Callithrix jacchus: one gene and its partners. The protein of the gene in region 2 binds, or shares a complex with, the protein of the main gene of each other region. Links are inferred from orthologs where the notes say so. Each region holds a gene or a part of one and is shown on either strand. Other genes may lie near its edges.

Region 1 (3,939 bases), on a different chromosome or scaffold from region 2:
CAGACGGGCGGCTGTCTTGGGAGACTGGGCATTTTTAGAGGCCCGAGGTATGACGAGATCAGGGAGTTCTCCTCACCTGATGTTGTCATGACCCGAGAGTCTGTCTTGTTCTTCACCTGAGGGTACTGTGTATTTTCAAATGGGGGGCTGTCCGCTACCTACCTCCGTGTGGCGCCCTGACGCCACTCCTGGGCTGCGCTGACCACCTCATTTCCCAGGGTGCTCACTACCATCTGGTTTATGGGTTCCTCTGTTCTCTCCGCTCGGTGATGCCATTTTTTGGAATTTTATCATTACACTTCATTTTACTATTTATTGTGTGAATGCTGCGTGACTCTCACCCACTGCCGCGTCCCTTGGACCTTTTGCGTACCGCTGTTGGAGGAGAGAGGATTCACGTCTCCTGCAGAGGCATTCCCCACTTCCTTTGTAAGGGCACTGTGTGTTTAGAGGCGCAGCCTCCATGGAAGGCACACTCCTTTCTAGGAACAACTGTGGCTCTCCTTTCTGAGGAAAGTGGATTATTAGATTTCCAAACTAATTTTGCAGCCATATAGAGAAATATTGGGATAAAAATTAACTCTAGTTTTGGAATTCTGCTCCATAATTGTCAGAATCAGACTTTTCCAGGCCATGGTGCCACCAGCACGTTCTGTAGCAGATGTTGCCAAGGCCTGAGCAGTGGATGTTCAGCCTGTGTCCCCTGGGCTGTGTCAGCATGCCCCCACTTACGGTTTTAATTGAGAAATAGGCTCCGTGGAGGTGTTTGCTCTTGAGCCATGGATTTGAGACAGTAAAAGTGGGGAAAGCTCAGTGTCTCTGATTCGAAGCGCTGTCTTGCTAGAACGGCTACTTTTAGCCTGAATTTGGAAAAGGAGTCTTGCCTCTGACCTGGTGTCCTTGTGTTGCAGGTGTGGTGTCCCTCGTGGCCGTTCACCCCTCCACTGTCAACCCACTTGGGAAGCAGCTCTTGCCAAAAACCTTTGGACAGTCCAATGTCAACATTGCCCAGCAAGTGGTAAGGCACCCACAGGAGTGGACAGTTGGGTGGGGTCGGGACTGCATGAGCGTGGCTGGGGGCGTTCCCAGGCGTGATTGGATTTGGGCTCTGGTGGCAGCGTGGGCCTTCCCTTCATCAGGGAGCTCACGGCCAGTGCTCAGTTTTCCACGGCCCTCTGCAGCTGCCCTTGTGCTGTTGTGGGAGAGGTGATGGCGCCCCCTGCACTCCTGCGTGCCCATACCATCCTTCCAGTAACTGGCGGGAGGTGGATGGGGTCGCGGCCCCGGCCAGAGGCAGCTTCCTCTTTGTGTCAGAGCTCATAGCTCTTATCTAACAAGGGCTTCTGAAGTGCTGAGGCCAAATATTGGCCCTGGCCCTCCTGGCAACACTGGAAGCCAGGGAGGGGTAGGGCCCTGGCCGTAGCCGTGCGTTGGCCCTGGGGCAGTGATAGCAGATGCTGCTGCCTCGCCGCACACAGGAGAGGAGCGCTTGGGCATCGGGAGGTGGTGCATCCCCCTTCCCCAGGCCGCTGCTGGTAGCTGATGCTGCTTCTGACAATGCTGTTTCCTGTCTCTTGTCCGCCCTCTGCATCCTCGATGGTGGGAGCCAATCCGAGAATCCTGCAGCCTCACCTCACCAGAAATGGGGCCCCAGGCACCGGGTGGGCAGGTTTGGCTGTGAGTGGAGCTGTTGGCGCGGGACACTGCCACCCCAAGGCTAGGACGGGCTTCCAGTCCTTCCTTGGGGACTGGTTTATGGGGCCTGAGGCTCCTTCCTGGTCCTGTGATGGTGCTGAGGCCCTGCTCCCGCCGGCCCTGGGCTGTGGGGACATAGCGCCTCTTGCACCCCGGCCTCCTGATCCATTGCACCCCTCACCCTGCTCCGCCCATGCTGTGGTCCTGTCTTCCTACAAGGATCTAACACCCCCAGGTGGGATGAGAACCTGTCTGCTCCTGTCCCTCAGGTGTCCCCAGGCGTCCTCGGTGTCCCAGTTCCATTGGGCAGCTCTGTACTGAGCTGTTTGCCGTCGAGGGTACAGTCCCATTGGGTAGCTCTGTCCTGAGCTGTTGTGCTGTCAAGGGTACAGTCCCATTGGGCAGCTCTGTACTGAGCTGTTTGCTGTCGAGGGTACAGTCCCATTGGGCAGCTCTGTACCGAGCTGTTTGCTGTCGAAGGTACAGTCCCATTGGGTACAGTCCCATTGGGCAGCTCTGTACTGAGCTGTTTGCTGTCGAGGGTACAGTCCCATTGGGCAGCTCTGTACTGAGCTGTTGTGCTGTCAAGGGTACAGTCCCATTGGGTAGCTCTGTACTGAGCTGTTGTGCTGTCGAGGGTACAGTCCCATTGGGCAGCTCTGTACTGAGCTGTTTGCTGTCGAGGGTACAGTCCCATTGGGCAGCTCTGTATTGAGCTGTTGTGCTGTCGAGGGTACAGTCCCATTGGGTAGCTCTGTACTGAGCTGTTTGCTCTCGAGGGTACAGTCCCATTGGGTAGCTCTGTACTGAGCTGTTGTGCTCTCGAGGGTACAGTCCCATTGGGTAGCTCTGTACTGAGCTGTTTGCTGTCGAGGGTACAGTCCTATTGGGTACAGTCCCATTGGACAGCTCTGTACTGAGCTGTTTGCTGTCGAGGGTACAGTCCCATTGGGCAGCTCTGTACTGAGCTGTTGTGCTGTCGAGGGTACAGTCCCATTGGGTAGCTCTGTACTGAGCTGTTTGCTGTCGAGGGTACAGTCCCATTGGGTAGCTCTGTACTGAGCTGTTTGCTGTCGAGGGTACAGTCCCATTGGGTAGCTCTGTACTGAGCTGTTTGCTGTCGAGGGTACAGTCCCATTGGGAAGCTCTGTACTGAGCTGTTTGCTGTCGAGGGCGTCTCCCTGTGGTCTAATCCTGTTTTCTTCAGAGAATGATGAGCACACACCAGGGGTGTTTTGGTCATTTTCGTACTTCAGTCTTTACTTGATATGCATTCCTGCTATTTCCGTTTATTTAAATACACTTGAAATTCTCTGTTCTTTAACAGATCTTAGGATGTGAGTTTTAAGAGAGAGTGGCTTGTGAGTCGCAGCCTTGGGACCTGCATGGGACTCCGCTTCGCCGAGCCCCCTGCCCCCGTGTGTGCCGCGCGCAGCTGTCCTGAGTGAGCACTTCCAGATCCCAGGCAGCTCTTGTGGCCCCTTTTCTGCCAGTGAAAGTTGACAAAACCTTGCTCTGCAGAAGTTTTGTGGCCATTGAAAGGGGCGGTTTGTGAAAGCCCTACCATGTTATACAGCTGATCACAGCTTCTCAGTAAATGCCATTTTGATAAAAGCTTAAATTCAGTTTTGGTTTTGCTTTTTTTTTTTTTTTTTTTTTTTGAGACAGAGTTTCGCTCTTGTTACCCAGGCTGGAGTGCAATGGCGCGATCTCGGCTCACCGTAACCTCCGCCTCCTGGGTTCAGGCAATTCTCCTGCCTCAGCCTCCTGAGTAGCTGGGACTACAGGCACATACCACCATGCCCAGCTAATTTTTTGTATTTTTAGTAGAGACGGGGTTTCACCATGTTGACCAGGATGGTCTCGATCTCTTGACCTCGTGATCCACCCGCCTCGGCCTCCCAAAGTGCTGGGATTACAGGCTTGAGCCACCGCGCCCGGCCCTGGTTTTGCTTTATAATTAGTTTGATTGTTAAGTTGGATTTTATCGGTGAGTTTATCTTGGTGAATAATTGTAGCACCACTTCTGTCCTTACTGCCGGTACGATGCATGGGAGGAAAATGAATGGAAGATGATCTTACTGACGTGCTTTAAACTTCGTCATTGAAAGTCAAGTTCCTGATTTAAATTCACCTGTTTGGGTGGAGCCTGTCATTGCTGTTTTACACTTTGCAAAATCCCAGTGATGGGAATTAAAGCTGACAGACGGCAAATGTCTCTTAAACCGTTTTATATGCCACAGG
Region 2 (4,671 bases):
GATGATGCGTAAAATTTCAAAATAGCAAGTGTCAGTTTGTTACAGTGTTAACATGTGGCTCAGTGCTCTATGCAGTAGACCATGTTGCCTTGCAAATTTAGATCCTTATCCGACTCTAACTGTTACTGTAGCAAATCTACTTTAATGCTACTTGAACAGTTTGTAGTTATTAGACTTGGAACTTCGAGTAGCTGCAACCGCTAGAAACTCCTCCGGTGGTTCCCCCCCTCCCTAGTCTCTCCAGAGGAAGGAAGGTCACCTTCTACACTTTAACTACCATGCTCATTCGTCTGGGCAAAATGCCCAGTCCACTGCCGTCTTCACGCGTTATTCTCCAGTACCGGGCTCCTCCGCCGCGCACGTTATTTCCCGTAGAGCTGGGCACGAAATTGAGCACCTCGAGGACCAACGGCAGCCAAGGATTATCTCCCGTTCCCGTTTCAAGCACGTCTCCCACTAGGAACTTTTTTCACTTGTCACGCTTCTGCTGCTTTCTGAGGAAAATAGACGATACTTGGTTTCCTGCCAAAGTCTTCGTCACTCTCGTAGCTATGACGTCTGGGTAAAAATAGCTCACATGTTTGCTTAAAAAATAACGGCCGCGCAAATTTGTGGTTACATTTGTCTCGGGTCAGAAGACCGTTCCTCCTAACTAGTGAGGAGGGAGACGCGTAAGGAGTGAGGAACGTGGCCGAGGCGAGGCTGCAGAGACTTACTCCCGCCGGGAAGCGGGACCACTCACTCTGCCAGAAACTCCGTCCGCTTACCCTAGAAATTTGGGGCGGCTGGACGGTTCTGGCGCCGCTTCCGGACCCGCTCCTGGCGAGCGCAGGAACTCGCTCTCCCAGCAGGCCCTGCGCGGTGCGCCTCTCGGCGCGTTCCGGGTCCTATGACAGCTCGATCGCCCTGCCCCGCCCGCGCCCCGCCCGCGCCCCGCCCGCGCCCCACCCGCGCCCCACCCGCAGCCCCACCCACTGGCTCCCGGCTCCTTCCCCGGCTCCCGCGAGTTCCAGTCCCGGCTTCCAGCTCCCCAGCCCCGCCCTCAGTCGCGCGCGCTCTCCCTGCCCCGCCCTCACTCCTTCGCGTGCGGCCCCCACAGCCAATGAGGTTCAGGGCCGCGTGCGCAGATTCAAACGGCGGCTCTTGAGGGAGGCTGGGCGCGAGATTCGGCGGTGCGGACAAAACCCTGCAGGAAACTACGATCCCTGCAGAACTGCTAGCTGCGGGTAGAGAGCGGTGGTCGGCGCCTGTGGCGGAGTCGCGCTGGGACCGGGGCGGGGAGGCTGAGAAGCGGTGGGATAGGCCGGCGGAGGGCGGGAGCGCGCCTTCTGACATGTTGGGGGCATCCCTGGCCCGGCCGGGCCGGGGCTAGGAGCAGCGCTGTGGGCAGGGGCCAGGAGCGGGTCGCGGTCCGCCCCCGCTGTCCCTCCGTCGCACCCTGCCTAGGACTTGCGTTCCGCACTCGGCTGCCTTCGGAGGGAGCGAGGGAAGCGGCTAGAGGGTCAGGGAGAAGGAGCATTCGCCGGAGGCTAGAGGAGGCTGACCCGCGTCCCCGTCCAGCCCGCCCCTATGCGGTACTTGAAGGATGGCGAAGAGGTCGCGCAGGTGGGTGGCACCCCTTTTGCCCAGGCCTGTCGGCGCCTTCTCGGCTCAGATTCTCTTTCCTTTCCCCCTGCCCCCTCCCGCCATAAGGCCCTCCCCGGCGAGGGCAGAGGTTTTTCTTCCCGCGGCCGCCTCGATGGCCGGAGCACGACCGCGATGTGTGGAGAGTTGGGGACCAGGGTGTGAGACGCGGGGCGTAAGAGATGCCCAGGTTGCTCCGTGGTTCTCCCCACAATGCGCGTCCAGACTCCAGTCCTCACGCTGCCACTTCTTGGAGGCAGGTTTCTTGCCAGGTAAGTCGAGCGCTTTTAGGGAGTTCGCTACGCAGAGAAAAGTGGCTTTGTCCTGTCGGGAGGACTTGAAAATGGTGTTCCGGCTACTCTTCTGAATAACCGTACAGTCAAAATAGGAACTACGCGGTGAACCTGGGTGGCCACCCTTCTGCCAACTTGGCTACCTCGAAACGTTGTGGAAAATCCTCTGGGGAATAGCTGAGAGGACCTTTTTGATGTTTTCTGTAATTCCCATACCCATATTCTCAGCTTTATGTATATATGTATATTTTAATATTTTCTACTGGGACCATGCCACATTGTTACTATTAGTAGCTTGATGTTAAAATAAAGCAATGTGTTTGATTCACTTAATATTTTGAGTGTCTGTGTTTGGCTCTGACCGTATCTAAGTGTTGCACAGAGGTAAGGCATATTTTGGGGGGGGGGGGCCTGGAAAATGTGCTAGGATGAATTTATATGCATTACAGCAGCTACTCATAAATTATGTGGAGTAATTACTCAGATAACAAAAATACAGGGTATCTTCTGATTTTCAGCATTATCAAATAAACCTGAAAAGATGTTTGGCAGACTTTCCAAATATTTTACTTACCTAGATCCACAGCCCTAAAGTCTTAACTAGTGATGTATTTCCTAAGTTGAAATTTAGTAATGGAGGTCATTCACTGCATATTTCTGCTAAAAATCGGCAGTAACTATACATAATAGTTTTTTGCTTTATTTGTCTGTTAAGCATCTGCTGTGTGCAAGATGCTTCTGCAGAAATCTTTAAGTCCCTGTAAGCTTATTAGTTTTGTAATAAGTTATAGGACAAACCCTTGAGATGAAATAAATTTATACACAGATCCCTCTAGAACAGTTTTCAAAGTTTGCACTATTGACATCATGGACCAGTTAATTCTATGTAACGGGGAGATGTTTAGTAGCATCGCTGGCTTCTACCCAGTAGAGATAGTAACACTCCACTTACCTCAGTCATGACAGTAAAAATGTCTCCAGACATTGCCAGATATCTTTCGGGGGACAAAAGCACCCAGGAAAGAACCACCCCTCTAGAACTTCAAGGACCCAGTTAACATCAGTCTTCAGAAAAGATAGATATTTAAAGCTCTTGTAATTATGATTGCTGAAGTACCGGTTTAGGCTTTTTGAATTTTTAAATATATAAAAAATTAAAAATTATTAAGATGACAAATGAATATATCAAATTTATTAATGTTTGATATTATCTACTTATCAGTATTTATGTTAATTTTATTTGAAACAGTTATTTGGCTCATTCTGCTATCAGCATTTAGTTAAATTAAAATTTTGGGTAAACATGAATGTTTAAATGTCAGAACTTTATCCTTCCCAGTGGGTTTTCTGTCCATTTCCTATGTATGTAGTGCATGTTTCGTAATAATAGACAAAGAAAGGAAAAATGACTTAATGTTAGTTTCCCTGTATAAGTTGTTTTATTGACAATACTGTGACCTTGAAATTTAAATATTAATTATATTTTTGACATTTATTTCTTGCCAGTTGTATAAGTTAATTTAAACACAATAGAATGATTTAAAGAGGTATAAATCTGGAGTAATTAAGTGTGGTGGGGTGAAGCTACATTCTGCCTGGGAGTATACAGATAGAGGATGTGGGGATACATTATCATCTCTGAATGATACGTCTCTTAAGTCTTCATACCCGAATATGTTGCATAGTCTACATTTCTTGCATGTGTAAATATGATTTACGTATCTTAGAAGATAGTAGATGCTCTGCTTTGTGCTTCAACAAAAAACAAATTAGAGTGTGAATTGTTTTGAAGCAAAAATAGTCATTGGGAAAAATATCTCTTGCCTTTTAGCTAAGTGTCTTAATATATTTGAACTCAATTCATAGTTGAAAGGGAAAAGAAATAATTCAGTTACTTCAGGTTGTAATTTGAGATCTCCAGTATACAACCATGTAAGCATTCAAGTGAAAACTATAGTTCGCTGTATACAAGTTTTGCCTAAGAGTATAGGCGTAAATCCTGTAATACATGTTTATGCTATGTGATCTGGAAAAAAAACAACAACAAAAAACAAAGTAGAAGACTAAGTGTTACCTCAAGTGTGAAACAACTGCAGGATGTTGGTTGTTTTGATCTTTGTTTAAGATAGCTGTAGTATCTCTCCTCTAGATTTACATACAGGAAAAGACTTATTTGTATTGTGACTTTAAATAATTTTACATCCCACTGGGAGTTGTAATGACAATTTACAGGCAATACTAAAATTAATATGTCTGTTATTAACATATATTTGACTTTTAAGCATATTTATATATACATAATTAATTTTAGATTTAAAAGTTTTACCCTTTAAAATAAACTTTTATAAAATATTTAGAAACGTATTTACTAGTAATAGATTATTTACACTTGAGATGACCTGTGACTGCACTAACTGAAAAGATAAAAGCCAGCTCTTGAAATAGAAGATGTTTTTTCAGTGGTATGTATATGTGTGTGTGTAGGAAGCAATTTTACTGTGTTGTTTCCAGCAAACCGGGTGGGAGTGAAATTATACTGAAATATGAGAACTGATCTTTTAATCGGTTTTGTCATTAACTGGCAGTGTTGTTTTGGGGAAGCAGGTAAACTCTGCCTCAGTTTTTCATCTGGTTAATATACGGATTTTGGATTTTATGGTTTGTAAGGTAGTTTCTAGCTTTAATATATATATTTGAAGACATTTTGTAATCTTTTCTCATTTAAAAGCATATCCATACTAATGAAATATAAATT
Region 3 (4,415 bases), on a different chromosome or scaffold from region 2:
GAAGACTGAGGCAGAAGAATCACTTGAGACCAGTTCAAGACTAGCTCAGGCAACAGAGTCAGATACTGTCTCCAAAAAATTGAAAAATTAGCTGAGCACGGTAGTACATGCCAACAGTCTCAGCTACTAGAGAGGCTGAAGCAGGAAGATCACTTGAGCCCAGGAGTATAAGTTTACAGTGAGCTATGATTGTGCCAATGCATTCCAGGCCTGGGCCTGAGCAAGACCCTATTTTGTTTTTGTGTTGTTTTGTTTTTTTCAGATGGAGTTTCACTCTTGTTGTAAAGGGTGGAGTATAATGGCACAGTCTTGGCTGGCTGCAACCTCCACCTCCCAGGTTTTATTGATTCTCCTGCCTTGGTCTCCCAAGTAGCTGGGATTACAGGTGTACATCACTATACCTGGCTAATTTTTTTAGTAGAGACAGGGTTTCACCATGTTGGCCAGGCTGGTTTTGAACCCCTGACCTCAGGTGTTCTGCCCACCTTGGCTTCCCAAAGTTTTCTGTGGGATTAGGCCCCTGGCTTGATTCTGACTCATTATGACTGTTGGAATTACAGGCATGAGCCACTGAGCCTGGCCAAGACCTTGTTTCTAAGGAAGAAAGAAAGAAAGAAAAAAGAAATAAAGCAAACATTAAAGATGTCGTATTCAACTCTGTCTACCTAGATATTTAGCTCTTCAACCTTTCTTAGTGTTGGGGGTGAGAGGAAAGATTCCAGGCAGAGGGAATAGCATGGATAAAGCACAAAACTGGGAACAAGCTTGTCATATTCAAGAATCTGAAACAGGTGCATGCCATGACCATAGTTTGACACAGTAAATGCTTATTCAATGACAGACCTTCTGCAGGAGAGACCAAATGAGACTTGGGATGTCAGAAATGCTTTCTCAGGCTTTCAAAAATCAACCTGTTTTCAACTGAGAGGCCATTCATTCTAATCTTCCCTACTTTCTTATTCTTTCCACAGCTTTCCAGTCATGCCACATACAGATGCGGACCACTGTCCTTCACCCAGTCTATCCAGTCCTGAAAATACACAAGTCTTTTTCAGGTACTTTTCCTTCATATACAGACACGCATACAGTCAACACATTTCCAACTCTATGCCTTTGAACCCAGCAAGGATTTCGCTGGGTGGGGAGTCAGCAGTGAGCCCTGGGCATGGGTCCAGTCCTCTTGGTACATGAAAGCCTTTGAACATGAGGCCACTGGAGTGCTACATGACATATACTCCATCACAATTCTGTCTACACTGGCCTTATGCTTGCCTGGGTTTCTTTTTCTTTTTTTTTTTTTTTTTTGGAGACAAAGTCTTGCTCTGTTGCCCAGACTGGAGTACAGTGGCATGATCTCAGCTCACTCCAACCTTTCCCTCCCCAGTTCAAGCAATTCTCTTGTCTCAGCCTCCCAAGTAGCTGGGACTACAGGCACATGCTGCCACGCCCACTAATTTTTTGTATTTTTTTCAGTAGAGACAGCATTTCACCATGTTGCCCAGGCTGGTCTTGAACTCCTGAGCTCAGGCAATCCAGTCACCTCGGCCTCCCAAAGTGCTAGGATTACAGGGCTGAGTCAACGGGCCTGGCCTCTTTTTTTTTTTTGAGACAGAGTCTTGCTCTGTCACCCAGGCTGGAGTGCAGTGGTGTGGTCTCTGTTGTTCACTGCAGCCTCTGCCTCCTGGGTTCAAGCGATTCTCCTGCCTAAGCCTCCTGAGTAGTTGTGATTACAGGCAGGTGCCACCATGCCCAGCTCATTTTTTTACTTTTAGTAGAGACATAGTTTCACCATGTTGCCCAGGTTGGTCTCTAACTCCTGCCCTCAAGTGATCCGCCCCCCAGTCAGCCTCCTCAAGTGTTGGGCTACAGGCATGAGCCAACCACGCCCGGCCTGGGTTTCTATATTAGAATAACCCTGGGCAAAGCAACCTTCTGGGCCTTGCTATTAAAACCTGGAAAGTAGGTCTAGTATTCATTGGCATGCCATGTTCACAGGGCTTTTGTGAGGATAAAATGCAAGAATGATGAGGAAAATCGAGTAATTATAACTGACATTTATTTTTTCAGAGCCAGACACTGATAGGAAGCATCAGGACGATGGTCTGACGGAGGGCTGAGATCAGCTTCGTGTGCACATTGGCTCTGCTCAAACTGCTGCTCCACCCTGGTGAAGCAGAGGGTGGAGGTTAAATGGCTCAGATTCTGGGTCTGGCTCCATGTAGAAGTATGACCCCGGGCCCGCAGCTTAACCTGTCTGGGGATGAAGCTGTTCGGTTAACTTAAGAGGAACCTGTCGGCTTCCTCTTGCGTGGAATGAGGACCGCAGAAGGGGTTCAGAGGGAACTGAGTGAGAGGGTCCATTTCAAGCTCTGAGCAGTGGCGCCTTGGCGTGCAAATTCATTTTCACTTTTACCATTATATTTGTTCCTACCTATTTAAGGGCAGCCACGACGTCTGTGGCGCTCGGCAGGGTGGAGGGAAGTGTGGTTAGGAAGCCTGGGGTCTGAGTGGCGCGGGACCTAGGCCGCTCCTTTTTTGGGGCTTCAGTTTCCCGCCTCAAAATGATGGGTGGAATGGCTGGGTTACACCCAGCCTTCCCGCCCCTCGGCGTCAGGCTGGGCAGCGACCCTCGGTGGGGAAACTCCCACCACCCCGTAGGCCAGGGAAGGGGCGGGGCGGGGCGGGGGTGGGGCCTGGCGAGAGTCGGGTCCGGCCGTCCCACCTGCCGCCGCTCACCTCTAGGCTGTAGTTGCCTCGGATGGCGGTGAAGTCGTCCAGGGCTTCGGCCGCGCTCCCTTCGTCCAGATTCAGCTCCTGGCACAGCGCCTGTAGCGCCTCCCCGGCTGCGGCGACCACCGCCGCCCCCTCGGCGTGGGGCTCGTCCTCGAACATCCTTTCAGTCCCCACGGGCGGCGCGCCACGGCCCCCAACTTCTTTCTCTCTCTCGGACGAGCTACCCACAACCACCTGCGCCAAAGCGCGCGAAAATCGGCGGTTGCGGAGCGCCTTGTCTTCCACCGTCTGCCTCCGCTTTTCCTCCTCAAAAAAAGTCCGTTTTTCCTCCGGAGCTCCTAGCCTTCCCTCTCCGGAAATGTGCTAAGAAGACGGACCACAGATCCTGAATGACCTGGACTTGGCCCTTGGCGGATCGCTGGGGGCCCAGCCGGCGGGGCAAAAAAAGAGCGGAGGGATCCACAGCCTGCGCGCAGAGCCTGCTGGGAGGTGTAGTCCATCTCGGGGAGATGAAGCCCGCGGCCTGACCATGTACCTCGTGTAGCATAGTGAGATACCTCCTCTATCCATGGGCCCTGGGTTTGTCACTGTTTCTCCTGCCTCAGGCTCCTTTTTAGAAAAAAGTAACCTCTGGACGAAGAGGGGCTCTTGGGACTCTCCCCAACATCCCAGCGCCCAGTGCCAGTGAGCGGTTCACTAAATGACCGAGGGGAAGGACTAGTGAGGGTTATTAGGGGACGGATCCTGATTTCGTGTTAGTCACACGAGGCGGGCAGAGAGGACTGCGGTAATGAGGCAGGAGAATAGAGTCTGGAGGCAGGGAACCTATGGTTGGTTCACGTGACTTTCTAGAACAAAATTGAAACGAAAACCCCAACTTTCCACGCCTAAGTAACAAAATGACCAGAGGCTATTTTGTTGGACCTTTTTTGCCTGGCAGATGTGAAACTGTCCGCAACAAACCACACTGAGTGCTTGCTCTTCTTCGTTTGCAACTTTGTAACTTAACTTCAGTCTCTGAATAGTTGCTGTCCACAACCAATCAGACTCATTGCTGTAGAGTCTTCATTTGCATAGAAGTATAACTTTGTAACTTAACCCTAGCCTCTGATTGGTTGGTTTCTGCAACCAATCAGAAGCTATTCAATTGTCAAAAAATCCAAAAGTTTGAAAATGTTGCAGCGACTCCCCATTTCTTTGAGGGTTAAGCCAAGCTTCTTGTCCTAGCCTATAAGGCACTAAGGGTCTGGTGGTCCCCTGTCTAACTCTGCCTTCATTTGCTCCTCTCCCCTTTCTCACCCTACGCTGGTCATACTTGTGATTCCTTGTGGCTGCTTTTTTTCCCTTTAATTTGGAAAAATACAAACTCAGTTTTTTATTTAGTGGTAACCCCAATGTTTTAAAAAAGTGAAACATTTCATCCAAATCACTAGCTAAAAGATAATAGCTAAGAATACTTGAACCAGATATCAAAGAATTGGGGAAATGGGGGCGGGCATGGTGGCTCACACCTGTAATCCCAGCACTTTGGGAGGCTGAGGTGGGCAGATCACTTGAGGCTAGGAGTTCACGGCCAGGCTGGCCAACATGTCAAAACCCCATCTAAAATACAAAAATTAGTTGGGCGTGGTGATGGCTGCCTGTAGTCCCAGAAGTGGAGGCAGGAGGACAATCACTTGAAC
Region 4 (4,739 bases), on a different chromosome or scaffold from region 2:
ATCTCATCTCCAAACTGATGGTGAAGTGCAAGCTGCTGAAGCTCCCCCAGGTGCTGACAAGGAGCAGGGTTTAATCTTCTTAGAGAGCCGATCAGAGGGTGTTTAGAAGGCAAAGGAGAGGTTAAGCTAGCTCTGAAGGGAGGATTACTTTGTAAAATTGAACTTTCACCCTCCCTGCTCTCCCTCCTCTCTTAGCATGGCAGCACCCAGTTACCTAAGGCACAAAGCTGGCAACAGCAATACTACTTCCTTCTCCTCACACCCAGTGACTCACCCAATCCTTTTTATTTTCCACACGTCTTGAGAGGTGGAGTGCATGCTGCCGCCTCTAATACTGTTGCGGTGGTGGTGGTCGTGGCTGGCTGATGGGTGCTAGCGGCTATTAGAAGGCCCTTACATTTATCAAATCATTTAGCCCTCAAAACAACGCTGTTATTATTTGCATTTTACAGATAAGAAACAGAGGCACAGAGAATTCAGTTACAAACCAACGTGCCTGAGATTATACAACTAGCAGCCCATCTGTATTCTTCCCATTGAGGCCGCGGGGCTCCAGCGCCACCTCTGCACCTACCTCGCTAGCTACCAGCGCAGGCATCTCTCAAGTCCTTTGCATGCCCCAAATAAGCTTCCTCCTGACTGGTTTCTAGGCTCTCATCTTGTCCCCTACCAATCCATTTTCCATATTTTTGTTCTAAAACACAAATAGAAACATGCCCTCTCTTTAGGTAAAACCCGACTCTTCCATTGCTCCAGTGGACTAAACAAGCTCAACTCCTTCCCCGGGTGGGCCTCTGTGTGGCACTCTGTCATCTCAGTCTACTGCCTGTTAACTTTGTAGTTCCTGGAATTCACCCAAGTTGTCTTTTGACTGCTTAACTGTCTCATTCCTCCAACTCCCGTAAGTTCCTAGAGAAAAGAATTGGAGCTCAATGACATTTGTTAAATGAATTTTTCAAAAGCAACAGTATTCTATTACTGGAAAGTGTTACAGACAGAAATTGTGAAATTTTTCCTTGGGCTTCTTTCAATTTCGTTGAATTCTCGTCCAGTATTCTCATAACATTTGGATCAGGTACTTTATCACCTTGTAGTGTCACTGTTCCTTTCTGTATCCTCTCGAAGCCTCCTGTTATTCGTTTCCTAATTCTCTCCCAGCCCATTGCACGATCTAGTGTGGAATGGATGAAAGAGCAGAGCAGAACAGTTCTTCAGCTGTCGGCCTAAATGACTAACTTCATGACCTCTCAAGGTCTCGCTCCACGGCTGCATACAGCTCAGCTTCCAACATTCGGGAGAGGCGTCCCGGGCTCGCGATGGACCGCGGGGCCCGAAGGTCGCGACGCGCAGGGGTCTGCTGCGGCCAGAGCTCTCCGGAAGAGGGAGGCGCCCGAGCAACGTGGGTTTCGGGAACCGTGAATATTTCACTTTGCGTACAGCCCCCTAGGGCAATGACACCCAGAACCGAGGGCTTCTTTACCCCTGCCAGGGCCTCCCTCCCGTTCTCCAATCGGAACAAACAACCTGCAGTTCCCACAGCTGCAGCGCGGGCCGCGGAACACGCGACGGGCGCGGGGCCCGGGCGGGACTCCGGAGCTGGCGCTGCTCCCCCCGCGCTCCGGCGCCGGGCTTCTCCGCGCGGCCTCCTTCCTCCCGCCCGCTCAGCTGGAGGCGGCGGCGGAGGGGAAAGGCGCGGCCCCCCCTCGGTGGCACCTCCTCCCCGGACAGGCGCGGACGGAGCCGAGCCCGCCTAAGCCGGCTGCGGCGGGAGCAACGCAGCGCGGCGCCGCGGGCAGCGAGCTCCGCATTCGAACCTCCCTCGCAAAGACAGTCTCCGCCCCACAATGCACTGCGGCGGGCAGCCTTTGAAAAAGCGGCGCGGCTCGTTCAAGATGGCGGAGCTCGACCAGTTGCCTGACGAGAGTGAGTAGCACCTCAAAGCACCCCCACTTCCCGCCCGCCGCCTGCTCCGCGGCTGCACCGGCCGGGACGGCCGGCTGTGCCCTCCGCTGGGCAGGTGGGCTGACTGCCAACTCCACCGTGGTCTCCTAGTCCTTCCACTCCGGTGTTGCCGCCGCGTCGCCGCCTTTGTTATGGTGTCTGTGTGTTGGTTTCTAGGGTTGTGTGAGCGCCAGGGCCGGAAACCGAGAGCCCGGGAGTCCAGCCTGTGCCGGGCGGAGGCGGTGGCTGCTCCCCTGGCCCGACTCCTGCCCCCGGCCGAGGTGGGGGTTAGAGCGGCCCCCGGGCGTGGGGGCTGTCCTAGCCGCCTGCACCACTCGCCCGGCGCGGAGAGACGCTCGCCGGGGTTATGTAACTCGCCTGTCCCGGGGCCGGGGGAGGGCTCGGGCTCGGCACGGGGTGGTCCACGGCCCCATCTTCTTGCCCCAGCCTCTGATGTTGTCCTGTCACAGCTCCTGCTTCTACGAGCACTTCTGATCTTCACTGTCCTCTCCGCCCGCCCCCCCCCCCACCCCACTGGTGTGTCCACCCCTAGAAGTGTTTCCGTGTCAGAGGGTTAGCCCCTTCCCCTGGGACCACAGGTGGCTGTGGACCTTTCCCGAGATCATCCAGCCCGGATACTTAGTGTTCAGGTAGCCCCCGTCCCGAAGACTTTCTTCTGTATGTGTCTTAAGAGCCATAATGTACCTTTATTTTGCATGGATGTGACCAACACAGCGTACGTGTGCAGTACCCTCCCTGACACCCACTCTAGGGCATTGCCTCATTTAACCATGTTTACTCACCCTGACATCTAAGACATGTATGCTCACTTGTGTTGAGTAAGTAAAAGCACCAATTCCATAGTTTAAGGGCAGTGGAACTTGATTTTGTAATTTACAGCATTGCATAAATTATATGAAAAATCAAATATGTTAGTTAATTACAAAAAGGTCCTGAATCCACATTCACTATTCAGTTTATACATATCTGCGAAAGGCTCAATCACTATTGAATCTATCTGTGTACAAGGCAAATGAGAACTCAGCATACTGCCGATTCCATTTTCTTTGTGAGGTCATGTATTCTTAATAAGTTGTAAAGTTAGGGGCCGGGCGCGGCGGCTCACGCCTGTAATCCCAGCACTTTGAGAGGCCGAGGCTGGTGGATCACGAGGTCAAGAGATCGAGACCATCCTGGTCAACATAGTGAAACCCCGTCTCTACTAAAAATACAAAAAATTAGCTGGGCATGGTGGTGCGTGCCTGTAGTCTCAGCTACTCAGGAGGCTGAGGCAGGAGAATTGCCTGAACCCAGGAGGCGGAGGTTGCGGTGAGCAGAGATCACGCCATTGCACTCCAGCCTGGGTAACGAGAGCGAAACTCCGTCTCAAAAAAATAAAAGTTATGAAGTTAAAAATTTAAGTTGCCAAGCTGGTGAAAAGTTGTATTAAAAGTGTTTGTGTTTTAAATTTGATAGAAAGCAGCGCCAAGTCCCAAAGGAACTTTGTCGGTGATGGAATTGTTTTCTTTTGTGATATCCCATAAGGTAGCCAAGCCACATGTGGCCATGGAACATTTCATGTGGCTAGAGGGATGGAGGAACTGAATTTTGAATTTTATTTAATTTTAATTTGCATAGTCACATGTAGCTAGTGGCCACTGTATTGGATAGGGCACAGCTGTTGACCAGCCATGAGTTGTATTGTTTATTTGTAGAATACAATTGATTGTGATTTAGAATGTTCCCAAATGAGTGTAGACCTACTAAGCACAGTGTTCTTGTTATCCAAAAATGTTTTTCATCATCCTTGCTATCTTTATCATAAAGATGTCTTATCACCTCTTGGTGTCATGATCACTAGAGCCACTATTTTGGTTAATGATAGGCATTTTAAGTGGCTTTCTTACAATTGCCATCAGGAATATTTGCTTCATATCATCCAACATTTATTGACAATTTACTGTGGTTCTTTGTAGGAACTTGAGATTTATACTAGGGTTCAAATTCCAGCTCCACTCTAAAATTAACATAACCTAATCACTTATATTGCTTTATGACATCTCTGGTACATTGGTGTGTATTTGTGAAGCATATGTCTTGTTTAGCCAGACTTCCGCTCTGTTGAAACCAGGGATTTTCTTTCATTGTTTGTCATACAATGCCACAAGTCAAGTATCCATAAATACTTGATTTCTATGGAATTGAATACAAAGTAACAGGTACTATTAATGAAACTGGAGCCGGGTCTTGAAAAGGAAAAGCAATTTCAATATGATACTGGAAATAGAAGTATGTTTTTTGGCCACATTTAGTCAAGGGGGCTAGCTAATACCTTATCCAGTAGTTGATACATTATCAATAATGAAAGCTACCATTTATTGAGTATTTACTGTGAACCAGATGTCATGCAAAGCATATTATATGTTTTTGCTCATTTAATCTTGATTTCAGTTGTTGTAAGTACTCACATTTTATATGATGAAATCAAGGCTATCTTCAGCCCAGATCTTTCCTGAGCTTCCTTTTTTGATGTCTTGCCTATTTCACATTTCTTCTTAGATGCTTCAAAGGCCCCTCAAAACTGCACAGGTTCAAAATCCACCTCATTCCCACCCCAGGACAGATACTTCTAGTGATTCCTGTATTAATGAATGGTTCCACTGTGCAGTCACCTGGCAGGGCAGAAACCTAGAGATTATCTTTCGCACCTTCCTCTCTTTCTTTTTTTTCCCCCCCTTTTGAGACGGAGAATGCAGTGGCTCGATCTCGATCTCCGCTACTGCGGCCTCCACCTCCCG
Region 5 (3,939 bases), on a different chromosome or scaffold from region 2:
ACAGAGCAAGACTCTGTCTCGGAAAAACAATAATAATACTATTAGAATTGTTTGTATTACTTTAAATCAACAGATCGTGCTGAACCTTTTATAATTATTTAATCTGCTTTGAACAATATCCGTATCCCTTCCAGTATCAAAAAGAGGAAATTGGCATACCTACTGCATTTCCTCCTCCTGGTACTTCTTATAGTATCATTTTTTTCTATAATGTCAATATTTCCTTTTTTTTTTTTTTTTTTTTAAGATGGAGTCTTACTCTGTCACCCAGGCTGGAGTGCAGTGGCGCAATCTCGGCTCATTGCAATTTCACCTCCTGGATTCAAGCAATTCTCCTGCCTCAGCCTCCCTAGTAGCTGGGATAATAGGCGCATGCCACCATGCCAAGCTAGGTTTTGTATTTTTTCTTCGCTATGTTGGTGAGGCTTGGTCTTGAACTCATGACCTCAGATGATCTGCCCGCCTCAGCCTCTCCAAGTGCTGGGATTACAAGCATAAGCCACTGCTCCCAGCCCAGTGTCAAAATGTCTAGTATATTCAGTTCTATAACTTAAATCTCCCACTTATTTAGATCTAGTTTTATATTTAGGTGGATTCAGTGTTCTCCTCCATCCTTTGTTATCATTACATTTCATGAGGACTTTGTTCCACAATGTAAACCAACAGTTTCCTTCATTGAGTAAGTCTTGCTATCAAGAAAAGAAGAAAAAAAGAAAGAAAAGGTCAGCTGAACTGAATGGTGTCCCTTGTGACATAGAGGATTATATTTTGGTGCAAGTTCTGAGTCTCATTGTAAATTGGAAACAGTTTGCAGATCAGCAGTGTTCAAGGAACACATTTTGAGAAGCACAGTTTTGTCCAGAATTTGAATAAGTGTCCTTGATTTTTTTAAAGTCTAAAATCCTCTCAGACAATGCAAGGCCTTAGAATACTTTACCTCCAATACCTTTTTCAGTTAATATATATGCTATTTGTAGTCATGTATATTAAGTTCTGTATTTATTCTAGACTCCATAAGACATGATTATTGTTTTATACCGTGAGAACTGAGATTTACCCACATACTTAACTTTTGAGTTGGTCTTCATTCTATCCTTCATCTCTAAGCTCCCATCTTAGATGATATTTCTTTACCTGAAGTAATCCCTTAAGTATATTTCAGTGTAGATCTGTGGGTAACATGATCTTTATTTTTAAGATTATTTTGTTTTATATTGTTTGAAAGTATTTTCAAACAATATTATTTCATCTTTAATTTTGAAGGATATTTTCACAGAATATAAAATTCTTTTGGATGTCTTCGTCAATTAGCTAAATAAAAAAATAGAATTATTCCAGCACTTTGAAGATGTAGTATTAATTTGATATGTTAATATCATGTGACTTAACCCTTAAAATTTATCACTCAATAAAATACTTTTTAGCAGGCTTACGATCAGAAGAACATTAGGCGAAGAGTTTATGATGCTTTAAATGTACTAATGGCAATGAACATAATTTCAAAGGAAAAAAAAGAAATTAAGTGGATTGGCCTACCTACCAATTCTGCTCAGGAATGTCAGAATCTGGAGGTAAGTGAGAAAATCTGTTTATGAATAGCTGTTTGCATTATTTTACATCAGAGGCATTTTAATTTAAAAATATGCTCATGTAATATAAAATTTTCAACTGTTCATGTATACTATGTCATTTTTTAACAGACTATAGAATTTTAGAATTGGTATATTCTACAGTTTAATTGGTAAATGATGAAACAGAGAGATATAAAAGTTAAATAACAATTTGATTTTTCTGTTTCTTAGAGAAGATTTTTATTTTATTCGAATTTAATCCTGAGTGCTCTACTAGTACACTTTTTTTAATGAGATGCTGGCTGTATGTATAAAAAAAAAATGGATCAAGCTGGCTGTTTATTTCCTTTATTGGTTACACAATATTCTGACTACAGCTATGAAAGTCAGACTTTTGCATTTGACTTTAGAACTAGTAGCAACAGAATAAATGGCGTTTCATTTGTGTCTTTGCCAGAATTGATAGAATTTTTGAATGATGTGTGCAGAAGCATTTTAAATTCTGTTAACTTTAAACATTATAGGAAGTTCTCCCTAAATGAACATGTTCCCTGACATACTGTTTCTAAATTGACTTTACATAATTTTGCTATCATGGCCATAAATGGAGTAAACTGAGGTTAAATATGGCACGGTGGCTTAAGCCTGTAATCCCAGCGCTTTGGGAGGCCAAGGCGGGAGGATCACCTGAGGTCAGGAGTTCAAAACCAGCCTGGCCAACATGATGAAACCCCTCCTCTACTAAAAATACAAAAATTAGCTGGGCATAGTGGTGTACACCTGTAATCCCAGCTATTCAGAAGGCTGAGGCAGGAAAATAACTTGAACCTGGGAGGCGGAGGTTATAGTGAACCAAGATCGTGCCATTGCACTCCAGCCTGGGTGACAACAGCAAGACTCCATCTCAAAAAAAAAAAATAATTATTATTATATAGCTTTGGGAGATCATTAAGATTGATTTCCTGTTTTTCTCAGTCTTTTTTCCCCCCAGCAAATAAGTTATTTAGTATTATACTTCTGGATGGAGAAAGAAACCAGAGATTCATCAGAAGCTAAAGAATATTTTTTATATGCTAGAGTGGAAATAACCTTTTCTTGTTTTTCTTCCTTGTGATAGAGTGGAATTTGAGCATCATTTTCATGATCAGTAATACTGAGCTAATACTACAGACTCATTAAGCAAAAAAACCTATTCACATCTACCTTGTGCTTAACCACAGGTTATACAAGGCAAATCTCTGACACCAAGAAACTGTCATTCCAACTGGGGAGAAGAGAAATGTAAAAGAGTTACTAAAAATGTGATTATTCCTGTAAAAGAAATGTACAGATTCTCTGCAAAGAGGGATGAGGGAGGGCTTTACCAAGGAAATAATACATGAGCTCAGGCATGAGATGGGAGTAGTTTGCCAAGTGGATAAGGGTGGGGAGGGCCTTCCAGGCAAAGGTGCTACATGGACTGAGATAGGCATGAAAAAGCATACCTGGACCTGGGTGTGGCCAGGGAACAGGCATGGAGAAAGGGGGACAGATAGCTAAGTGTTAAGCAGTGGGGGCCTGATCCTGTAAACAATGGGAAGCAGTTGATAAATTACAAAGAGAAGGGTTGATAGGATGTTTTTTAAAGGATCACTCTGCCAGTGGGTTGAAAGTAAAATTAATAGGTAGATAGGGAAGGAAATGGAATGAAGGAGGGGAATTTAGATAGTCTGAGTTACAGCAGTGGCCATGAGATTGGAGAGGTGTTTTAGAGGTGGAATCAGTGCAGCTTGACCTGGTTGGATGAGGGACAGGTAGGGGGGCCTGGCTTGTCAGAGCTTCTGATGCAAGGGATGCTCCTACAACATCTTTTCAAATGCAGAACACCACACAAATTTTCCAGTGAATCTTAATTTAGGAGTAAAGCATGGTAGTGGATAGAGGAACCATGAATGGAAACTCCTAGTACACACTAGACTGGATGGGAGCAAGCAAAGAGATTATCTGCTGGAGCAGAGAGAAAAATGTTTCATTTCATGATTGAAAGACAAAATGGTAACAAATTTAAAGATTCTATTTAATTGGCTTTTATTTGTGATTCTAGAATCTTGTAACACCTCATTATTAAGTAGAAAGAGTGTTCCTCCGATAAGCTGAGCAGAAGAGGTTAACGTTCTTCAGTGGTTTGTTGTTGGGTTTTTTTTTTTTTGTTTTTTTTTTTTTTTGGAGACGGAGTTTCTCTCTTGTTACCCAGGCTGGAGTGCAATGGCACGATCTCGACTCACCGCAAGCTCCGCCTCCTGGGTTCAGGTAATTCTCCTGCCTCAGCCTCCTGAGTAGCTGGGATTACAGGCCACCATGTCCAGCTAATTTTTTCTTTTTGTATTTT
Region 6 (3,346 bases), on a different chromosome or scaffold from region 2:
TATGTGTCATGCACTATTCTAGACTGGAACGACAGCAGTAAATAAAGATTGAACTTACAGAGGAGCATACATTCATGATTTGGAAAGGTTTAGTTAAAGAAATTCTAGTCTTCATGTAGACTGTATCTTTTAGTTACCACATAACCTTGCCTAGGTAATACGTCAGGTATTTTATATTAAATGTTATATTTCCTGAACAATATTCTTACAATATGTGAATAATAAAACCAGATCTAACTTGTTAAAGCTCTTTTTAGGATGTGCTTGTGCTCACTGTGTAAATTGTGATGCTCATCCTGCTAGTGAACTGTGAAAGTGTCAGTAGAGATTTCCAGATGAAAGAATGTTACCCACTTTTGTTGTTATTCAACACCACCAATTTCTCTCTCAAAAATCGTTTCAGATTGCCATTTACATTTGTAACTAAGGAAGTAGCTGAAGCCACATGTAATTGCCTCCTTGCCCAGGCAGAGCAGGCAGACAAGAAGGGAAAATCAAAGGCAGCGGCGGAACGCATGATACTTGAGGAATTTGGACGATGTTTGATGAGTGTCATCAACTCTGCAGGAAAGGCAAAAAGTGACCCTTGTGCCATGAATTGCTAACTCTTGCACAAAAGAGTGATAAATGGAACTGTTCAGGAAATTTAAGGTGCAGGGACACTTGATTTTCTGGAAGAAAAACAATTACTGTATTTTAATTCAGTCCTTGTTGTAAAAGACCTGAAATTATACTGAAGGAGAAGAAATTTTAAATGAGGAAATTAGTACATTTTAAATCTTAGTTAAATCTGCTTATGCCCTTTCTAAATTGAGTTTTTCTTTATTGTATTATATAGATTTTTTAATTTGCTTGGGTTTCTTAAGAATTAGATGTTTTCTTTCTGATACCTTTGACAAAAAACGTTTATAAATGACTATAATTTATAATGTATGGTGTTGTATGACTTTGTTAGTAGAAAAAGCCAAAGCAGCAGTGGTTAGCACTCAGTTATTCTTTGGGACTTGATCTCGAATATATGCAGATAGAATGTTACATAAACAAATTCTTACGAAACATATTCAAATGACATTTTTTTTTATTTAGAAAAGCACTATCTTTTAAAGAAAAATCAGACTTTTAGGGCAGATTCTGGAATAATATCCTGTTGTCTCTTTGGGAATGTCAGAAGGGGAAACAATCCCCAGGCACACTTTTAAAATTTTTTTAAGTTATTTTAAAAAGACATATAAAATATTAAAGGACAGTAAACAATTCTCAGAGGATGAGCAGTGTGTTTCTATATAATAAGGAATGGCTAACAGATGCTCTCGGCTGTCTCCATTTTCTTTCAAAGAGGTAGTATGTATTTAAAGTAATAAATTGTCAAAGTGGTTACTGGGTACTACTAAAATGATAGGTGCATAGAAATAGAAGTAAACATATTATGTAGTGATAATATAGAACCTCCCATAGTAATCAAGTATAAAATTTGGCATGGGTGGAGAAACAAAGAATTTGGAAGCTGTAAAAGATGAATTTAGAGAAGTTTTCATCTATACAATCAGTTCTTTTTATAGACTTTTGGACTAAGTTTTCAAACCAATTCGTGACTCTTATTTGATGTACAGAAATGGGCCTCTTGAAAAAATTTTCAAAATTGTAGTGGGATTTCTTTTTATAAGGGAAGTTTAATATGGCATTATTTTCAGCCAGTGATTTGGTAAGGTGAAGGACTACTCTTTTCCTATATTTACTAAAATAAGCTAAATCATTTTCAGTAATTCAAAAACTCTATGAATTTAAGAGCCTGTTGTGATAAATCAGGACTTCTGATTTTATAAGAAAAAACCATGTTGGAATTCAGGCATTTTATTAGGTACCTTAATCATCAGTAATTAGTGTATGATTATTGCATTTCCTACAAGGACTCTATAGTTGTATGTATTAAGTGTGTATATATGTTCATATGAACTCACAAGATATAGGCAATAGAAATTAAGTAATCTAAAAGAGGATTCCGTTATTCACTAAAGTATCTTCCTTCTAAATTTGGATTCATAAAATCACAGTGCAGTAACTTTAAATGTAGATAGTGCAGACATTCTTAGCACCTCAACGTAGTATGTTTAATTAAAATTTGTATAAATGTAAATTAGTGTAAGAGGACAAAATAATTAATCAAGTTATTTTTCAAAAGATTGCAATAAGTTTTTGGTCTTAACCTAAACTTTGTTCATTTTGTACATACTCTGTGTTAATTCTAACTGCACCTTTGTGATGTGTATTTATATACAGTGTGCAGAAAATGTTTGTGAAATTTTGATTACAATTGTAGATTATGTATGATGGCATTGCTTACGAATGTTTTGCTTGTAAAAAACTTCAAGGTGCAATCAAATGCTACTAGTTTTTCTGATTTTCAAAAATCTATCTAAAATATGAAGCCTTTTCCTTCCTGTGTAGTACTTACTCAACTTTTTGTATTCAGGCATTTGCATCAAATTGCTGAACAAGATAAACAGCCACATTAATTCAGTGATTTTAAAAGACTATTTGGAGAGGGTTGGGTATATAATTTTTTAGCTCTATTTACATCCCAAAGTAGAAAGATTAAATTTATATTTACTAGAGCTATTCAAAGAATACACTTTTCTATATTGTAAAAACAGGACAGCAAAGTAAATCATACAGAAAATAAACATTTATACTATTCTGTAAAAAAAAGGTATTGCATTTTTTCTTTAGTTTAATAACATCACTTTAACCATTTAATATGCAAGAAACCTTTTAAATTATCTGATGAAGTAAATGTTACATTACTTCTGAAAACACATAACTAAAAAGTTCTATCATTTTGCTCAGTTATTACTAACATAAATTGCTTTGAAATGAGAATGTCTTCTCTTTCTTTCCACTGTTTCTTTTAAGAGTAGAAACTCAGCCAGGCATGGTGGCTCATGCCTGTAATCCCAGCACTTTGGGAGGCCAAGGTGGGTGGATCACTTCAATCCAGAGGCTCTAGACCAGCCTGGGCAACAGGCTGAAACCTTGTCTCTACTGAAAAAAAAAAAAAAAAAAAAAAAAAAAAATTGGTGTGGTGGCGCATGCCTGCAGTCATGGCTACTCAGGAGGGTGAGGTGGGAGGATCCACCTGAGCCTGGGGAGGTTGAGTCTGTAGTGAGCCAAAATTGTGCCACTGCACTGCAGCTTGGGCAATCAGAATGAGGCCCTGTCTCAAAAACAAAAATACCCAGAAAATCAATCTACTATCTCTCTTTTAATGTGAGATATTCTTTTTTTTTTTTTTTTGAGACGGAGTTTCACTCTTGTTACCCAGGCTAGAGTGCAATGGCGCGATCTCGGC
Region 7 (4,722 bases), on a different chromosome or scaffold from region 2:
ATATAGGGGAAATTCTCAGACTGGATGTAATGATTAAGAAGGGCAATGTTGTTTCTTGCAGATTTGTTTCTTGCCTGCAGTAAATCTTGCCTTGTACTCTAAATCCTTGCTAGAATATATAAACAGAGTTGGAGATTACAGGCCTCAGGCATGCAACTCCTGTAGCTTTGTCATTTCTCCTTTGGCTGGCTTCAGAGAGGAATCAATCCCCCAAAGGCAGAGATGATGAGGGTGTGTGGCACTAGAAGAGCTGATTTTGGGGTGAGAACTTTGACTTCTTGTCTTACTTGGCTCCCACTTTCTATCACCTGTCTTAAAGATGTTTAGTACCTTGAACGTACATGGAACACACTGGTAGCGTTAACTATGTGCCCTCATCTACCCTATGTAGATGTGCCCTATCTATGTAAACTGTAACTTAGCTGAGAGAAAGTTTAGCTGAAAGTTTTGGCAAGAAAGGGCACAACCCAGTCTATGGAAAATACAAAGAGCCACGCTTGGGGAAAATAGCTTGCAAATGGCTGCCTTTGGTGAATACCTGGAGTACACGTCTAGAAGGAGATTCAAAGTTCATACACTTACCCTCTCCCCTCACATCCCCTCTCCCCCTTACCTCGGATCAAGGAAAGTGAAGTAGGGTGGGGAAAGGGAGCAATGGCAACGTGGACGCTCACGGCAGGGAAAGAGTAATCAAAAAGAGTAGTTCTCGGGGGAGAGAGAGAAGGCTGGTGCAGAGGTGAAAAGGAAAGACGGTGGACGGATGGAGTGGTGAGGGCAAGAGAGTGACAGCAGGGACCGGGCAGGGCTGGAGGAGAGTGGGCGAGAGCCAGAAAAGAGGAGGCTCAGGAGTAAAAGGGTGTAAGGCCAAGAGTAACAGCTCGGGTGGGATCCGGGACGAGGTAGGGTATGAAGTGAGAGCTGCGCATGGGACAGGGCCGCACAGGTCGCGTAGGAACACGAGGTCCGGCCAAAAAGGGGCTGGGCCAAAAAGGTGGTCCCGCCCGAGGATGGTTCACGGAGTGGACGGAAAAGATCTAAGTCCTGGCTTCATGGTCCCTTGGCACCACCCTCACTCGCCTGCAGGATCCGGGCTCGCACTGCCGCCGCCGCCACCACCGCCGCCATGGCTCTCGGCCTCCCTAGCTCCGCACCCTGCGCCTCTACTGCTCAGAAGCACTACAGCTGCCAGGCCTCGCCCTCCATCCTGACTGGCTTCCTCATTGGTGGGTAGGACTATTTTTTCCAGCCAGTCACGCGAACCAACACCTGATTCCGCCCCTCACACGCCAGTCCTGTGAATAAGTGATTGGTCAGGAGCGAAAAAGGTCTCGCCCTCTCCCACTTCAGCCAATGCTGTTGGCGGAGGTAGAGAAGACGCCCCTGACTTGGACACTCCATACTGTGCACACGGGGAAGACGCCCCCTAACCCGGAACTCCGATTGGCCAAGGGCGCAACCGAGGCCCCGCCCTCTCACCGAGAAAAGTAAATAAGACCCTCCAAGAATTTTGCAGTCGCTCCACCTCAACAACTGCGCGAGGGGCGTGGCTATAATTAGGGGCGGGGATAGGCAAATGTTGCCCTATGAGGCGAGGGAATGAGACTAGGCTGTGAGTTGGGGATAGGGTTTCTCTTTGGGGGAGTGGCTTATGGATCCTCGTTTTCCCGCCGACGGTTGGCCATGTCACGTGACATGGGTTGGAAGATGGCGTCTCCCACAGACGGTAAGAGCCGGCTTGTAGATCTTTGCCTGCAGCCTCCTTCTTTGCTCTACCGGCAACGTCTACTCTGTCTCTGCCCCTCAAACATACATTTCTTTCTTGGGCTCTTCTCCTTTCCCTTTTACTTTTTTTCTTGAGATCCATCGCCGTCTTCAGCTCACTGGTTCTTCACAGCGGCTCCGGAGGTGCCCAGTTTCCCCGCTCTGTACCAGGCGTGTGGAGGAGGGCACCAGGGAGGGACTCACTTTGGGTAAAAGGACAGGGGGTTGCCCTGATCCTTCCTTGTCTCTATTTGGGTGAGGCTGAGAGCCTCGGAGGAGATGTTAGTGGAGGAAAGGACGTGCCTTAAACTAGTCTCCTCCTTGGAGTATCACACTGAGGGATCAGTTTTCTTCTGATTGAGCGCAGGGATGGAACGATTCTCACAAACTCTAGCAGTGGCTGCTGGCTGACCTCATCTCGATACTGAACCGCAAGAGAAACATGATCTCTCTCCTGTCTCTTGTTTGGGACCACTGCCGTGGCAGCAAGATAATCGGGGGACGTTCTCGGCCCCTCACCGTGAGAGTCGCGAGGAGAATGAGTATTGAGCTTTTAAGTGTTGTCTTGCACAGGTCGCAACCTCTTTTGCATCTGCTTTTTGTGTTGTTTCTTCAGGCTGAGTGAATGAACGATTTCTGTTTATGTATTGTAAAATGCAAGTCATTTCAAGTAACAATTAGGTTGTCTTGGTATATTCCTATGCTTTTGGTCTCGGTTCTGCTTTAGAGAGTTAGGGTCTTGCAGTCATTTTTAAACTCATTTTTGTTTCTGTCGTTCCCATCCCAACTATATATATCGATTTCATTGATATATAGGTTTCCCTCCCTTAGACAAACACATTTTGTATTTGGAAGGAATCTTGAAAGTTCATTACAGGAATGAGGAAATTGAAGCCAAGGTGAGCTTTATTAAGTACCTGCTACATGAAACGCATAATGCTAGGTGCTTTGAGATTCCAAAAGATTACTCAAACATATAAATATTTTTTTTTCAATTTCAGATCTTTTTTTAGATGTCACCTCCCAAAGAGTCTCTTAGAACACAGGATCTGGAGTCGCTCTTCCCCACCATTATTCATTATCTCAGTGTCTTCCTTGTCAGCATAGTAATTCTGTTAACTTTGCCCCTTTTATGCTAGATTATAAATTTCAAGTTTGTCTTGTTTATAGTTGGATCCCAGGGTTTAGCACAGTGCCTGGTGAACAGTAGGTCTTTAATTAGCATTTATTGAAAGATTGATTAGATATATGCAGAAATAATATATTACTTGATCTTAAGTTTTAAGATCTTGGGAGGCTGAGGCGGGCAGATTGCCTGAACTCAGGAGTTCAAGACCAACCTAGACAACATGATGAAGCCCAGTCTCTACAAAAAAAAAATACAAAAATTAGCTGGGCATGGTGCCACACACCTGTAATCCCAGCTACTTGGGGGGCTGAGGCAGGAGAATCTCTTGAGCCCTGGGGTGGAGGCTGCAGTGAACCATGTTCATGCCACTGCACCAGGCTGGGTGACAAAGCGAAACCCCCGTCTCAACAACAACAAAAAAGAAATTATGGATGTTTGGAGTCAAAAGAGAGTCTCCTGCCTGGGTGCTCTCTTGCTGAAATGTCCTTCTCTTGCCAGAAAGAAGGGCATTTAAAAAGCAAGGCGAGGGAATAGGGAGTTACTGTTAACAGGTACCAAATTTCAGTTTAGGTAGGTGAAAAACATTCTGGAAATGAATGTGCTGATGATTGCACAATTAATGTACTTAATACCACTGAACTGTATACTTAAAAGTTGTTAAAATGGTCAAATTTATGTATATTTCACCACAATTTAAAATAACAAAGCCAAGTGATAGAAGTAGAGGTAATTGTTATTAAATTTTTTAGTTTATTTTTAAATTGTTTTTACAGATTTGGGGGATTTTAAAGATGTGTTTCTTGAGTTGGATTTTTTCCCCTGTCTTCTCAATTTAGTTTCCTTTCTTTGGCCAGGAAGAGTATTAAAAACATTGTATGTTTTTCCTTTGGTCTTCTAGCCATCTTTATGGTCACTTTATTTGCACTCTTTATTTTTTAAGTTTTCATTCTTATCTCTTACAGAGTTTCACTCTTCTCCACCTAATCTTTTCTTTTTAATCTGACAAAATCAAGTCGAGCACTTTGAACTTAATTAAATTCATCTTCTAAATAAGTAACTCATTCTAAAATATTCCATGGCCTAGCTCTCTCACTTCTATTTTTAGTGTTCCACCTGTCACTGTCTTTAAAATTTAATTCAAACAATATTGATTTAAAAATGTTTTTTATTTACTCTTTTGTCTTTTTCATGCTAAATTTGCTGGAACTTCTTTGAAAAGGAGAAAACTGAAATTCAAATACAGCCATCTAATTACTTAATTTGTGAGAGTAAGACTCACAGCAGAGTTCTGTCCCAGATTGTGGTATCATAAGGTCACCGGTGTAGGTTATAGATCCTACCCTCAATGATTTTTTTTTAAATTTTCTTTTAGAGACAGGGTCTCTCTCACTCTATTGCCGGTGCTGAAATGCAGTGGTATGATTATAGCTCCCAGCACACTGAAAGGCTTAAGCTATCATTCCATCTCAGCTTCCCAAGTAGCTGATACTACAGGCTCACACCACCATGCCCAGCTAATTTATTTTTGTTATTATTTATTTTGTTTTGAGATGGAGTCTCATACTGTCATCCAGGCTGGAGTGCCATGGCACCATCTTGGGTCACTGCAACCTCTGCTTCCTGGGTTCAAGTGATTCTCATGCCTCAGCCTCTCCAATAGCTGGGATTATAGGCACATGCCACCACACCTGGCTAATTTTTGTATTTTTAGTAAAGATGGGGTTTCACGGCCGGGTGCAGTGGCTCACGCCTGTAATCCCAGCGCTTTAGGAGGCGGAGGTGGATGGATCACAAGGTCAAGAGATCGAGACCATCCTGGCGAACATGGTGAA

What was found.
Region 1: MYBL1 (region 2) and TFDP1 share a complex: the UniProt entries of both Homo sapiens proteins name them as parts of the DREAM complex. The link is inferred for Callithrix jacchus from reciprocal best matches to the Homo sapiens genes MYBL1 and TFDP1.
Region 3: MYBL1 (region 2) and RBL1 share a complex: the UniProt entries of both Homo sapiens proteins name them as parts of the DREAM complex. The link is inferred for Callithrix jacchus from reciprocal best matches to the Homo sapiens genes MYBL1 and RBL1.
Region 4: MYBL1 (region 2) and LIN9 share a complex: the UniProt entries of both Homo sapiens proteins name them as parts of the DREAM complex. The link is inferred for Callithrix jacchus from reciprocal best matches to the Homo sapiens genes MYBL1 and LIN9.
Region 5: MYBL1 (region 2) and TFDP2 share a complex: the UniProt entries of both Homo sapiens proteins name them as parts of the DREAM complex. The link is inferred for Callithrix jacchus from reciprocal best matches to the Homo sapiens genes MYBL1 and TFDP2.
Region 6: MYBL1 (region 2) and LIN54 share a complex: the UniProt entries of both Homo sapiens proteins name them as parts of the DREAM complex. The link is inferred for Callithrix jacchus from reciprocal best matches to the Homo sapiens genes MYBL1 and LIN54.
Region 7: MYBL1 (region 2) and LIN52 share a complex: the UniProt entries of both Homo sapiens proteins name them as parts of the DREAM complex. The link is inferred for Callithrix jacchus from reciprocal best matches to the Homo sapiens genes MYBL1 and LIN52.

The regions. Positions count from the first base shown.
Region 1 is NC_133502.1:29,094,297-29,098,235, forward strand, and holds part of TFDP1 (transcription factor Dp-1), read left to right. Parts: intron 1-911; coding exon 912-1,018; intron 1,019-3,939. UniProt on the Homo sapiens protein: Can stimulate E2F-dependent transcription.
Region 2 is NC_133517.1:22,490,996-22,495,666, reverse strand, and holds the start of MYBL1 (myb-related protein A), read left to right. Parts: upstream 1-1,714; 5' UTR 1,715-1,836; coding exon 1,837-1,895; intron 1,896-4,671. UniProt on the Homo sapiens protein: Transcription factor that specifically recognizes the sequence 5'-YAAC[GT]G-3'.
Region 3 is NC_133506.1:2,224,592-2,229,006, reverse strand, and holds the start of RBL1 (retinoblastoma-like protein 1), read right to left. Parts: upstream 2,962-4,415; 5' UTR 2,893-2,961; coding exon 2,737-2,892; intron 1-2,736. UniProt on the Homo sapiens protein: Key regulator of entry into cell division. Directly involved in heterochromatin formation by maintaining overall chromatin structure and, in particular, that of constitutive heterochromatin by stabilizing histone methylation.
Region 4 is NC_133520.1:22,938,099-22,942,837, forward strand, and holds the start of LIN9 (protein lin-9 homolog), read left to right. Parts: upstream 1-1,754; 5' UTR 1,755-1,844; coding exon 1,845-1,923; intron 1,924-3,071; exon of another isoform or gene 3,072-3,305; intron 3,306-4,739. Other genes in the region: uncharacterized protein LOC144580374, read left to right, coding at 1,317-1,754. UniProt on the Homo sapiens protein: Acts as a tumor suppressor. Inhibits DNA synthesis. Its ability to inhibit oncogenic transformation is mediated through its association with RB1. Plays a role in the expression of genes required for the G1/S transition.
Region 5 is NC_133518.1:42,566,296-42,570,234, forward strand, and holds part of TFDP2 (transcription factor Dp-2), read left to right. Parts: intron 1-1,424; coding exon 1,425-1,571; intron 1,572-3,939. UniProt on the Homo sapiens protein: Can stimulate E2F-dependent transcription.
Region 6 is NC_133504.1:114,864,706-114,868,051, forward strand, and holds the end of LIN54 (protein lin-54 homolog), read left to right. Parts: intron 1-403; coding exon 404-605; 3' UTR 606-2,706; downstream 2,707-3,346. UniProt on the Homo sapiens protein: Component of the DREAM complex, a multiprotein complex that can both act as a transcription activator or repressor depending on the context. In G0 phase, the complex binds to more than 800 promoters and is required for repression of E2F target genes.
Region 7 is NC_133509.1:109,030,912-109,035,633, forward strand, and holds the start of LIN52 (protein lin-52 homolog), read left to right. Parts: upstream 1-1,685; 5' UTR 1,686-1,692; coding exon 1,693-1,723; intron 1,724-4,722.